Pelodiscus sinensis: one gene and its partners. The protein of the gene in region 2 purifies or fractionates together with the protein of the main gene of each other region. This does not show direct contact. Links are inferred from orthologs where the notes say so. Each region holds a gene or a part of one and is shown on either strand. Other genes may lie near its edges.

Evidence for each region.
Region 1: the proteins of PPP2R2C (region 2) and CCT3 purify together in Homo sapiens (affinity purification with mass spectrometry; 4 studies listed by BioGRID and IntAct, counting the BioPlex papers as one, with this or other methods). This does not show direct contact. The link is inferred for Pelodiscus sinensis from reciprocal best matches to the Homo sapiens genes PPP2R2C and CCT3.
Region 3: the proteins of PPP2R2C (region 2) and CDCA4 purify together in Homo sapiens (affinity purification with mass spectrometry; 4 studies listed by BioGRID and IntAct, counting the BioPlex papers as one, with this or other methods). This does not show direct contact. The link is inferred for Pelodiscus sinensis from reciprocal best matches to the Homo sapiens genes PPP2R2C and CDCA4.

What each region holds. Positions count from the first base shown.
Region 1 is NC_134734.1:16,142,116-16,145,863, reverse strand, and holds the start of CCT3 (T-complex protein 1 subunit gamma), read right to left. Parts: upstream 2,629-3,748; 5' UTR 2,486-2,628; coding exon 2,455-2,485; intron 1,256-2,454; coding exon 1,194-1,255; intron 1-1,193. Other genes in the region: TSACC (TSSK6-activating co-chaperone protein), read left to right, coding at 2,779-3,040. UniProt on the Homo sapiens protein: Component of the chaperonin-containing T-complex (TRiC), a molecular chaperone complex that assists the folding of actin, tubulin and other proteins upon ATP hydrolysis.
Region 2 is NC_134715.1:112,516,234-112,519,981, forward strand, and holds the start of PPP2R2C (protein phosphatase 2, regulatory subunit B, gamma), read right to left. Parts: upstream 2,120-3,748; 5' UTR 1,269-2,119; coding exon 1,082-1,268; intron 1-1,081. UniProt on the Homo sapiens protein: The B regulatory subunit might modulate substrate selectivity and catalytic activity, and might also direct the localization of the catalytic enzyme to a particular subcellular compartment.
Region 3 is NC_134714.1:17,438,561-17,442,308, reverse strand, and holds the start of CDCA4 (cell division cycle-associated protein 4), read right to left. Parts: upstream 2,847-3,748; 5' UTR 2,714-2,846; intron 2,236-2,713; exon of another isoform or gene 2,074-2,235; intron 1-2,073. UniProt on the Homo sapiens protein: May participate in the regulation of cell proliferation through the E2F/RB pathway. May be involved in molecular regulation of hematopoietic stem cells and progenitor cell lineage commitment and differentiation.

The DNA of each region.
Region 1 (3,748 bases), on a different chromosome or scaffold from region 2:
ACTGTGCCTGTTGAAAGAATTAGGTGTGTAGTTTCTGCTTTTAATCTTCATTTAAATAACACTGAAGAATTTAACTGATTCAGACCTAGTCTAATGTTTCAATTATTGCTTTACACTCTTAAATATGAGGCTACCCAGTCTGATTCTAAGCTGTCTCCTTTTAATATGCTGGGATCAGCACTGAGGGTTTCATTTACACATTAGTGCTTCAAAATTCCAAATGGACTTGAATAATCTCGTCTAACTACACAGAAAATGCAGACCTTGTAATTAACACAAATGACAATTATTTTAGAGTTCTTTGGATGCAGCAAGAGTATGATTTAACCAGGCATGACAATATAACATGAAGGCTAAGATAACAGTCACTTCTACTCGGACATCAGACACAACACAGTAAAACCTATGTTATCCGGTACATCCGGGGATTAGGTGGTGCGGGGGCCGGGATGTGGCCTGCTAGGGAGAGGAGGGCCACGAGCCACTGGCGGGGGGGGGAGGGGGGGGAAGGGGGAGGAAGGATGCAGCCTGATTGGAGGGGGGGGAGTGGAATTGGCGGGGGTGAGCTGCAGGTGATGCCGGGCTGCCAGGAGGAGAGGGTGGAGGGCAGGCAGCCACAAGCCGTGGGGCTGCCAGGATGCGGCCGGTATTAGGCGGTCAGAGCAGCCATTCGTTCCTCCTCCAGGTACATGCTGCATGCACGTCTGGCAGGGGGAGTGTCTGAGGAGCGGCCCAGCTTAAAGCACCAGTTTCTTTTTTTTTTTTTTTTTTGCTTTTAACAAGTTGTTCCCTGGCTCAGAAATGTGGAGGTTTCTAAAGTTTTCCGGCTAGTTAAGTGCTGGATAGCACAGGTTTTACTGTATTTGGACGTAATCATCTGCTCAAGACATTACTCCAAGCTACTTGCTAAACAAGATGTCAAGGTTCAGACATAAGTAAAGTTTTGGATTAACGTTTAATTTTTCTTTTCTTTTTTTGTAGTCACTAAAACAAAAAGTTATATTCAATTGCAGCTGTTGTTTAAGTACAGCAATAGAGTGATCAGCATTTCTTCATGTGAAATTTGTAAAAAAATACCAAGTGAATAATAGTGATGTCAAGGGAGCTGCTGAAAATGTTTCAAGTTCATGATTCTGTGTTTGTCACCTTTTGATTACTAGTTTGCTAACATACTTCATAACATAAAACAGTACCTTGGCAGCATTGACGTTTCCAAGCTGGACCTTCCTTCCAGACTCACGTTTTGTATTCTGACCTATGACATGCAGAAAACAAAAAATAGCAACAGCATGAATACAACTGAAATCTGATCTTGTGAACTCTTAATGGGAAATCTAGTGTTGAGGAAACAATACTGACAACATATCAAGGATGCAATTCTATTTATGTGTACGTGAATTACGGCCAATTCTAAATGAATCCAGCCATTTAAATAAGAGTATCCAAGAGGTACAGACACCAGAATAAAATTATACCAACTTGCTTTCTTAATTTTACCCACATAGAACCAATAAGATTGAAAGTTCAAATGAGTCAATATTCTGGATAATCTACTATAACATTGTTGCACAGTAACTTAATGTGTTTCTTTTGGTGGTGCACATAAGGACATGCTTTAGTACTCAAAATTTATTCCACACAGATGAAAAAAATTAGAAAAATAGAGGAATAGCACATAAGATGAGAAAGGCTGGAAAACAAGAAGGGGAACCTAAATGGGTGGAAGTTATAGGGGATGACCCCCAAGGCTGGAGCAGAAATGTGGGTGTTTACACAATATACTGGAGAAACGACAGACATGCAAATGGAAAGAACTCTAGCAGAACCCAAGAAGAGTGGATCTTAGCGGGCGGCACCAATATCAGGGAAGAACCTGAAAAAAAAGGCAGAAGGACCAGAGGACTCTCGGTACCAGGTGATGGGGGGGGGGGGGGGAGTAGAGAGCTATATGGAGAGGATGACTCAGGAAACAAGGGGGATGGTGGGGATTAGGGATGTTAATGGTTAATAGTTGGGTGCTGGAGCAACCCCACCCATCCCCCGTTTAACCAGTTAAACATTTAACAACCTTGCATCCTTAGTGGGGATGGATAAAATGGGGGAGGGGGAGCCGAGGGGAGCCCAAGGGGGGCTGTGGAGCCTACAGCAGGGGTACGAAAAAAATCTCACGGGGGGGGGGGGGGGGACACTAATGAGGAAGAGAGTGGGGGAGGGGCGTGGAGCAGGGGAGGGGCGCAGGGACCTATAGCGCAGTGGGGGAGGGGTTACAGGAGACCCAGCCGACACGACCCATGGGTTAGGGGGTGGGGGGAGGTGCAGAGAGCGGGGGAGGAGGTTTCCGGGGGGGGGGTTGAGGGAAGGTTTTCTGCCCCCCCCCCCCCCACGAATGGGGGAGGGGCGGGAGCTACACTAGGGGGCCCCCAGCAAGGTGCGCGCTGCCCCCCCCTCACTCACTGAGCACGATCACGGGGCGTTGGCTCATCATCCTGGCGGCGGCGTCTGGGAGCTAAGAAGCCGGCGCGGAACCTTCTGGAGACAGACACGCTCCTACCAGCACTGCCGCTTCACCGCGCCTCGACACCCTACCCCGCCCGTCGCCGCGGCCGGCCAATCGCCGCCCGAGCCAAACGCCCGGCACCCAATAGCGAGGCGGAATTCCGCCAATAGGCCTCGCCCCCTGCTTCTGCACAAGCTCGGTTGAGACGTACCGCCTCAGCGCGTGCGGCTTCAACTGGGAACTACCACCGTTAGGAAGGGGGTGGACAGGGAACACTGCGCATGCGCTCCCAAACTGCGCCTGCGCAGCGCTTCGGCAGAGGTAAAGCCCACATATGCAGAGAGCCGGGCGGTCGTGGTGAGGAAAGTGAGGCGCATGCGCACAAGCGAACAGCAGTTGGCTGGACAAGGAAAGCGAACCCGCTCCGCGCTGTGTCCGTCACGTTCGGGTTTCGGCCACAGAGGCGAGCGGGGAGGAGAGCAGAGCCCTATAGAGAGCTGGCTTTCCCCAGAAGACCCGGGAGTCATAGTCCTTTCCGCCGAGGCATGCTGGGAATTGTAGTCTTCCCCGGGGGGGGGCGGGGGGAGGCTCACTCACACTGGGCATCATGGGAGTTGCGGTTTTACTCCTGGGCATGCTGGGAATTGTAGTTTTACGTTTTGTCACGCTCCGTAGTTTTTTTCCTGAGGCACGATGGGAGTTGTAGGCCTAACCTGGGGCTTCCTTTCACTGGTGTTTCATGGGAGTTGTAGTTTCACAACGAGCCATATGCCCCAGCTGCGTAAGATAGCGCTAGGGCTATCCGGCTATGCACAACATTGAGCACAGATGTGTATTACCTTTGGGAGCTGTGCTGGGTACCACTGACTCACTATCCTGCCCAACTTCTCTCCACACACAGTGGAGTCAGGATAGTAATAGAAATGTAGCCGTGTTAGTCTGGTGTAGCTGAAGAAAAATGCAGGACGATGTAGCACTTTAAAGACGAACAAGATGGTTTATTAGATGATGAGCTTTCGTGGGCCAGACCCACTTCCTCAGATCAAATAGCCAGGACTTACAGTGCAAAAACACCCATTGCCTCTTGTGGCGTAGTGGGGGTGCTGTCTGCTCTGTAACCCGGTGTCCCCTTGCACTGTGATGTGAGATTCTCACTGACTCTCCCAAATGTGTATTAACCCAGACACTTGGGCTACGTCTACACTGGCATGATCTTGTGCAAGAACTCTTCCAGAACAGCGCGTCTACACT
Region 2 (3,748 bases):
GGTTTTTTGTTTTTTTTACTTCTAGGCAGAGAAGTGCTTTGAATCAGACAAATTAAACTTGTTGCAATGTGGCTCCAGGCATACCTTGCTCAGGAGGGGAGAAGCCAAAATGGTGGCTGAAATCAATCCTCATAGATTCTCTTAGAGTTTGAAAAGTTCTATTATTAGGCCTATGAGTTTGATTGAGCCAGCATTAATATCATGTTGGGTGTCAGAATATGGCAGGAGATTAATTATATTGTTCTGTTTTAAAGCAAATCCATAGTGAACATGGCAGCAGTGGGAAAAAATCAACAAGCAACATAAGATATGTACATGCTGTGACAAGTCCTGAAAAGGGATTGCACAATCTTTCATCACATAAAATCCCATAAGAAAGAAATGCAGTACATATATCAAATATTTGCTAACTGAGCAGGGCTCAGGCAAAGGGTGTGAGCTCTGAAAATAAATCAGCTGGCTTCTTGCCACAGTCAACTCATGGATAAAAGTAGGTCAGGACAACTGGGCGTACCCTTTAAAATTTAGACCATAGAAATGTTGGTCATACATAGTAATGCAGGCAGCTGTTAGCAAGGGGAAGATCCTGAAATCCTTACTGGTGAGGCTATCATATAATTAAATACTTACTAAAGTTTCCAACAAGAAAACGATTCAGACATGTTGCTGACCTGCAGCTCAGAGGGTATCCGTTCCTTATTAAGTACTAAAAGACTTACCCAGCATTGCCCGGGTTCTTCAGGGAGGGGTGCTGGCATTGTGGGGGTGCAAGAGTCAGGGCAGAGCCTTGGAGATGTAGGGGCAGGCAAGGCAAGAGGGTGGGGATGTATATGGTGGGGTAAGAGATGCAGAGAGGTTCAGGGCAGAGGGTCCCATCCAGTGGTGCTTTCTCTCCCTCCCCCAGCTGTTAGGGCCTTTTCGTCTCTCTCCTCCCTCCATCCCCCCAGCTGTCTCAGCCAGTAGGGCCTTCTTTCCACCCCACCCCCCTGCTCCTCCCAGCCATCACGGACCTCCCTCGGCCACATGCTGTGGGCAAGGGCTGGGGGAGAGGAGAAGGATTCGGGGCAGGGAGACTACTTACCTGATCTGGTCACAAGCAAGGCGGTGGAGCCCCAGCCCTTCTGGCCACTCTCTTGGTGGTGCATCTGCCTCCCAAGTGGTCTCTTTGCAGCATTGCTCTCCCCTGCAGGCTCACTGCCCCCAGTGGCCATTCTGAGTATCATGTCCGTCCTCGGTGCCCCTCCCTTTCCATTCCCAGCACTTCCCATTTTCTTGGCATAAGTAAACCCTGACTGTGCTTTAAGTTAGGATAAGAGGAAGCTGCGCTCCAAATTTGGTGCTCCTAGCTCTTACTGTTTAGAACAGGGTTTCTTAAACTGTGTTCCGTGGCACACCGGTGTGCTGCGAGGCAGTCGGAGGTGTCCTGCAGAGAACAGAATTTAAAATAGCCATCCTTAAAGGGGCAGATCACCTTTTTTTTTCCTCAACAAAAAATCCTTGGTGTTCCTCATAAAAAAAATTGTTTGGTCCTTGGTCTTAAAAGGTTTAAGAAACACTGATTTAGAAGGAGTTCTTGAACAGACAGACACACACACACAGACAAGCTCACAGACAGGCAGACACACAAATCTAAAATATATGTAGAGATGTAAGTATTTTACATGCAGTTCTAATCACTGGTATTTGGGGAAATAGATTTGTTGCTAGCCATTTATTACTTAGGCAGCTTCTTAGATCAAGCACTAAGTCTTGATACTAAAGTTGCCTTCAGCTTTACAAATTGTATATTTCTTCTAAACTCCTTTCACTGAACTTGATATAAAACTTTCCTAGGACGTTATGACCTCTGGACTAATTCACACACTCACCCTGACTAGACCAACAGGCATTTGCAAAGATGCTACTTCCCAATTACTAGACAGGACATTTCAGCCCTGAAAATGCAGAGCTGTGAACAAAGTAATTTCATTTTTCCCCTTCCCTTTGTAAGATACTAGTACTCTCTCTGAGAGAGAGAGAGAGAGAGAGAGAGAGAGGAGAGATTGAATGATCATGGAAAGAATAAGACAACTGTACTTTTACCAGCAGCTAAAGGAAATGTATTTTAACTCAGCTGTTAGAGAACTGTGTTTCTGGAGCTCATAAAATGTCTAGCTCTAAGTCCCTAGATCTGTGTGATTTATGTAGCAATTCTGTGTGTCATCAGCTATACACAAATGTATTAAAATACTTCTCCTTTCTTCCATCTCTCCTCCTGCAACCTATGTACAATTTCCAGTAGATTCTGCAGTGTGATATTAAGAACACTGGAGAACAAAATAAACTAACTAATTAATTAACTACAAGCAAACAGCACAGAACAGTGGCCAATCTGATGGGTCACCAGTCACATCTGTGATCTATAGAAGAAAAGTTCTTCATGACACTTTTATGACGGTTTTATCCTACACTGAAGAGAACAAACCTGTAATGATTAAAATTATGAAAAGAATGAGAGACACCAGTGCTTGTGATTTAAATGACTAAAATATAACAGAGAAATAAATAAGACAATCTTGTTTTATTTACATGTAAGTTAAATACAGGTCGATTTAGGTTTAGTGATTGAGCGATGCACTGTTACCAAATGACTTTCTCTCTCTCTCTTTACCACAAACATCAACACAAAGAAAATACTTGGAAACCATTCCCTTTTCATTGAAAAGGTGCAGAATAACATTTAAAGTGTCTCAGCTGTTGCTGAGCAGTTTGAAAAAGCCAGTCTGTGTTTGTTGGCACCCTCAGGGTCCCGCTAGATCAGTACCCTCTTACATAATGATAACATTTGCTTACCTGTGCCTGCTTTTGAGAAAACAATCCACAGAATGAGCCTTAGCAGCAGACAAAAGATTTGCTACACAAACACACTGATGTTTTGGCCACTTACTCTGTTTTCAATAAGCCTAAAATATTAAGATGCTGCATTTGTTTGCTGTTAATGTTTGTCTTCTACTAGGCTTATAGAAAGTCCATTTTTAATCTTGTCTTTAGTTTTTGAACAATTTTTGTGATTATTTTTGAGGTTGTCAGAGAGGGAAAAAAAACAGTATAAGATCAGCCTTCAGCATCCAAAATCTTATCCCTCCAAAGTGGGTTATAATTAGCTTTTATTAAGTATAATATTCAAACTGTAATTTATTTCGCACCTATGCTAAGATAGGGTAATGAAATCTAATTTTTCAGTGCATCTGGTGATCACCACAGAGGCCAGGAAGGATTTCATCCTATTCAAAGTATTGCCCAACTGTCTTGGTGATTATCAGTGTGCGGTTTTTCTCCACCTTCCTGTAAACCAGTGTTTCTCAAACTGTGGTCTACGGAGGAGACATCTCCAGGGGCTCCATGAGGCTGACAAACTAGAAACATCAATAGGTACAACACAGACAATCAGTGGATCGCTGGGGCTCCACATACATTTTTATTCATGTAAAGGTCTCCGGAGCTCAAAAAGTTTGAGAACCGCTGCTGTAAACCATCATGTACTCTCCATTGCCTGAAGCAGCATGTTTAATAGTTCAATGAGATTTAGTTTGGCAAATCCTCATAGTATGATTGTGTATCATGCTCCTGCACACTAGGATGTGGAAAGTGGGGGAGAGAAAAGCCGCTACATCACAAAAAACTCCCAGGTAAATAGCAAAACAGGGAGATATCAAACTTTTAAAACACCACCAACAAAAGATTCCTGGAATTTGGCATGAGTCAATAA
Region 3 (3,748 bases), on a different chromosome or scaffold from region 2:
GATAAATTTAGATTTATCAGGTAGTTGAGTCACTACTACTCACGTTCCCCCACCTTTGCTGCCTCTGTATCAGAGGGAGGGGAGGGAAGGAAGTAGGACCCAGTGCTGGGGGGAACCCCAGCTGTCCCAGGGCCACCCCAGTTCATGTCATCCTGCTGTGGCTCTGCGGCAGGCTCTTACTACATTGAAGATGCAGAACTGCAGTGGTCCTGGAGCTGGCACAAGTTGGGACTGCTTGGTCCCGGCTCATACTGCCCCCCGGGAGCAATTTACATTTAAACTACAGAGCCACAGAGGCAGTAGCGAGCACTCCCCTCCCCCCCAATTGACCAATCCAGTAGTCAGGGGAATAACTTAATTAACTGCCACTTAACATCTCTAATACTCACAGGGAAAAATAGTTAGCCAATGCAAAGCAATGATAAACTTGACCTGTTGCATGTAATTTTAGGTCATTCCCAGGAACAATTATTTTTGCTCCTGAGAACCAATAGGTTCTCTTTGTATCCTCTTATTAAGCAGAGTCCTATTTTTCATAGTTATAGGGTAGCAAAGCCTACTATAGATTTGCCCACTGACATAAAATTAGGGTTTGGGGGCACAAATTGCAATTAAAAAAACCTGAGTTTTTAACCTCTTGCTTTTAAAAAAAAAAAAAAAAATTAAAAAGATCTTGCTGTTTTTCCTGCATCTGCACACAAACCATAGCTACGAACAGGCATTCATAGCAAAAGAGTGTTAACTCTGAAGTGTATGGACATATCTACACTACAAACTTAAATCAACCTACAACCCCCAGAGTGACCACACTAGCCTCCTGTCAGTGGTAAGTGTCCTCACCAAGAGCACTCCCACTGACTAAAGAGACTCCACAGAGCTCCCCTACTGGGTACCCAGCTGCCCCTGGACTTCTTGCCTCCCCAATTCCCAGCTGGTGATGTGGGTGGGGTGAGGAGAGAGCTACCTGGGACTTCATCTCTGGCAGAGAAATCCGAACCTAGAGTCCAGTTGGCTGCTTTGCTCCTGGTGAGGAGTCAAGCGTCCTGTAGGAAGCCAGGAGCAGTCTGTGCAGCCAGGCTTGCTGCACAGACCAAGCAGCTAGAACTCTGGGGGGAGAGGGCAGGGCAGGGCAGGGCAGAGAAGCAAGAAACCCAGCAGGAGCTTAGGTGGCAGCCCAGTTTGGAATGAAGACCTAGGGGTGAGAGTGACAAGACTACATGTCACCCTCCCTACACTGACATAAGCTTTGCAACTCTCATGGAGGTCAAAGCGGTGGTGTACATTTGTATTGGTGGGACCAAGGCTGCACTTAAATAGTTAGATTGACATAAACTGCCTTATGTTGCCCTGTGTAGTGTAGATCGGGGTTCATAATTGTAAATCTTGTTTCTCTGCTGATCACCAAAATAGAGCAATTCAAGAAGTGTACTTGGTCCACTGCTGTTGGACAGTGACAAACGAGGAGAGGTCAAGTTGCTGTCTGTTTAGAAGCTAGAAAGTTGAAGTCCCCTGCCCCCAACAATTTCAAGTAAACATTAACCTCATCTAAAATGGGGAAGCACAATTTCATCCTTTCGTGAGCACTCTACATGAGTGCCAAAGCCCAAACTGTTCCGTTTTCCTGTGTGCCAAAAGCCCCTTGATTTGGTAGTTAATCTCCTTTAGCTACTACAATTCAGAGGCGCCAATACAAAAAATTGCAGCACATGGGCATCTGAAAGCTGGAAGAACAGATTGAATTCAATAGAAAAATAAGTAGTTTGACGAGCACATTTAATTTACAATTACTTGAATGGGGCACAGATCTTCAAATTTGCTGTAGAAGCCTTGCCACGGAATTTTAGGTACCTATTTTGCAAAACTATAAATGGCAGCGCACACCAGACAACATTTCTGAAATACAATAGCAGAGCAGAGCCTGGGTTTGGGGGGGGGGGGGGGGGGAAGCAGCCCTTACCACCAGGGTGGCAACAGCGCCAGGGGGTCACCCCCATCAATACAGGGCGGGGGCAGGAGAGTACAGGGCAGTGAGGAAGGGGACAAGATACAGAGACGATGCAGTGGACAGAGGAAAGGTGCCAGCGTGGTGATGGAGCAGGAAACGCGCAGAGGTGCGTAGGTGGGGGGGGGGTCAGCCCCCCCGATTACAACTATCCCCCACAGGGGCAGGGCAGCGACCCCTCCCCTCCGAGGCAGGACTAGGGCTGGCAGGAGTCTCTCCCAGGAGCACACACGGTACGTGGCGGCGGTGGCAGACGACGGGGAGGGGGAGCGTACGGGAGGAGTTGCGGCCGGCGGGGTTCAGGCGCTGGGGGGCGGCGGGCGCGTGGGGGGTTGCGGGCCAGGGGGCACTGGGGGAGGGCCGCACGCCGGGAGGGGCAGCGAGCGCTGGGCGGGAAGCGGGGAGGGGGCGCGAAAGGGAACAGCGAGCTCAGGCTGCAGGAGGCGCCCCCCGAGAGGCGGCCTAGCCCGCTCCCAGGAGACCCTGGGCGGCGGCGGCAGCTGCTGCTCGTCGCCCCTCTCTGCTCTGGGACCCCGGGGAGGGGGATCCGCCGCCATTTTGAATCCGCTCCCCACCGCGGGCTCTTCCCCGCCCAGCCGCTTCCAGACCGGTGCCCCTGTTTCGCTGCCGCGGACTAAGAGACGATCCCCGGGGGAAGGGGGGGGCAGCTAATCCCGGGACCGCGGAGCGCTTCGGCCCGACCCCACTCACCTCCTCGGCGCCTCCCGACCCGCGCCCGGCTCCCGCCTCACCGACTGCTCCGCGCCTGAGAGAAGGGGCGGGACCAAGCACCCCCGCCAGCCCCGCCTCCTCCCCGCCCGCCATCTTATTGTCAAAGCCCACAAAGAAACGGTCGTTTGCCCCCTCCCTACCCGGCCTGCCATTGGGCGATGCTTCCACCATGTAGCCACGCCCACAGCGAAATCTTGGTCGTCATTGGCAGTCTCCTGACCGTAAAGCACCACCCACACGGCATCCACCCTTCCATTGGATGACGGGTTACCATGGTGCTCAGCCCCACCCCACCCCCCTCCAACGTACGACTGGTTGAGGGGTTACCATAGAGCCCATACCCGCCCCTTAGCTGTCATTGGCTGAGGAAAAGAGCGAGGTGGAGTTTAACGTTCAAATAGCTGCCAATGGGCTAGGCGGGCCCCCTGCCTCTGCCTATTGACGTGACCAGGATCCTGGCCACACTGGCTCCAAAGCCAGCACGAGTGGGGCCTGCCCGAGAGCAGCCCGGGCTCTCTCCTCCCTGCTGCCCCGTGGTGGCAAAGGAGCCCCTCCCCCCTTACCCAGGACCCTGCCCTACTGCTGCATGGGCTCCTCCTGCACATCATGGCTGGGCACCATGTGCCCTCAGCTCCCAGCTTGAAATCTAGTGCATGGCACATGCTTGGCTTTTCCCTTAACAGCAACACCTCTGCTGCCTGCAGGCAGAACCCCAAGGGACCATCCCCACAGCCTTAGGGGGGTCAGACTATGGCTCAGCCTGCTCAGTTTCCTGTTCTGGCAGTAGCTGTTGCTAAATGCTTCAGAGGGAATGAATAGACCAGGGCAATTATTGAGTGATCCTTCTACACTGCAGGCGTCTTGCCCCAGAACTCTTTTGCAAAAGTCTGCCGCAAGAGCACATCCGCAGTGATGTGCTTTTGCACCAAGAGCGTTTTGTGGATGTTCTCTTACCCAAGAAAGCTCTGATGGCCATTTTAGCCATAGGGGTTTCTTGCACAAGAAAACCCTATT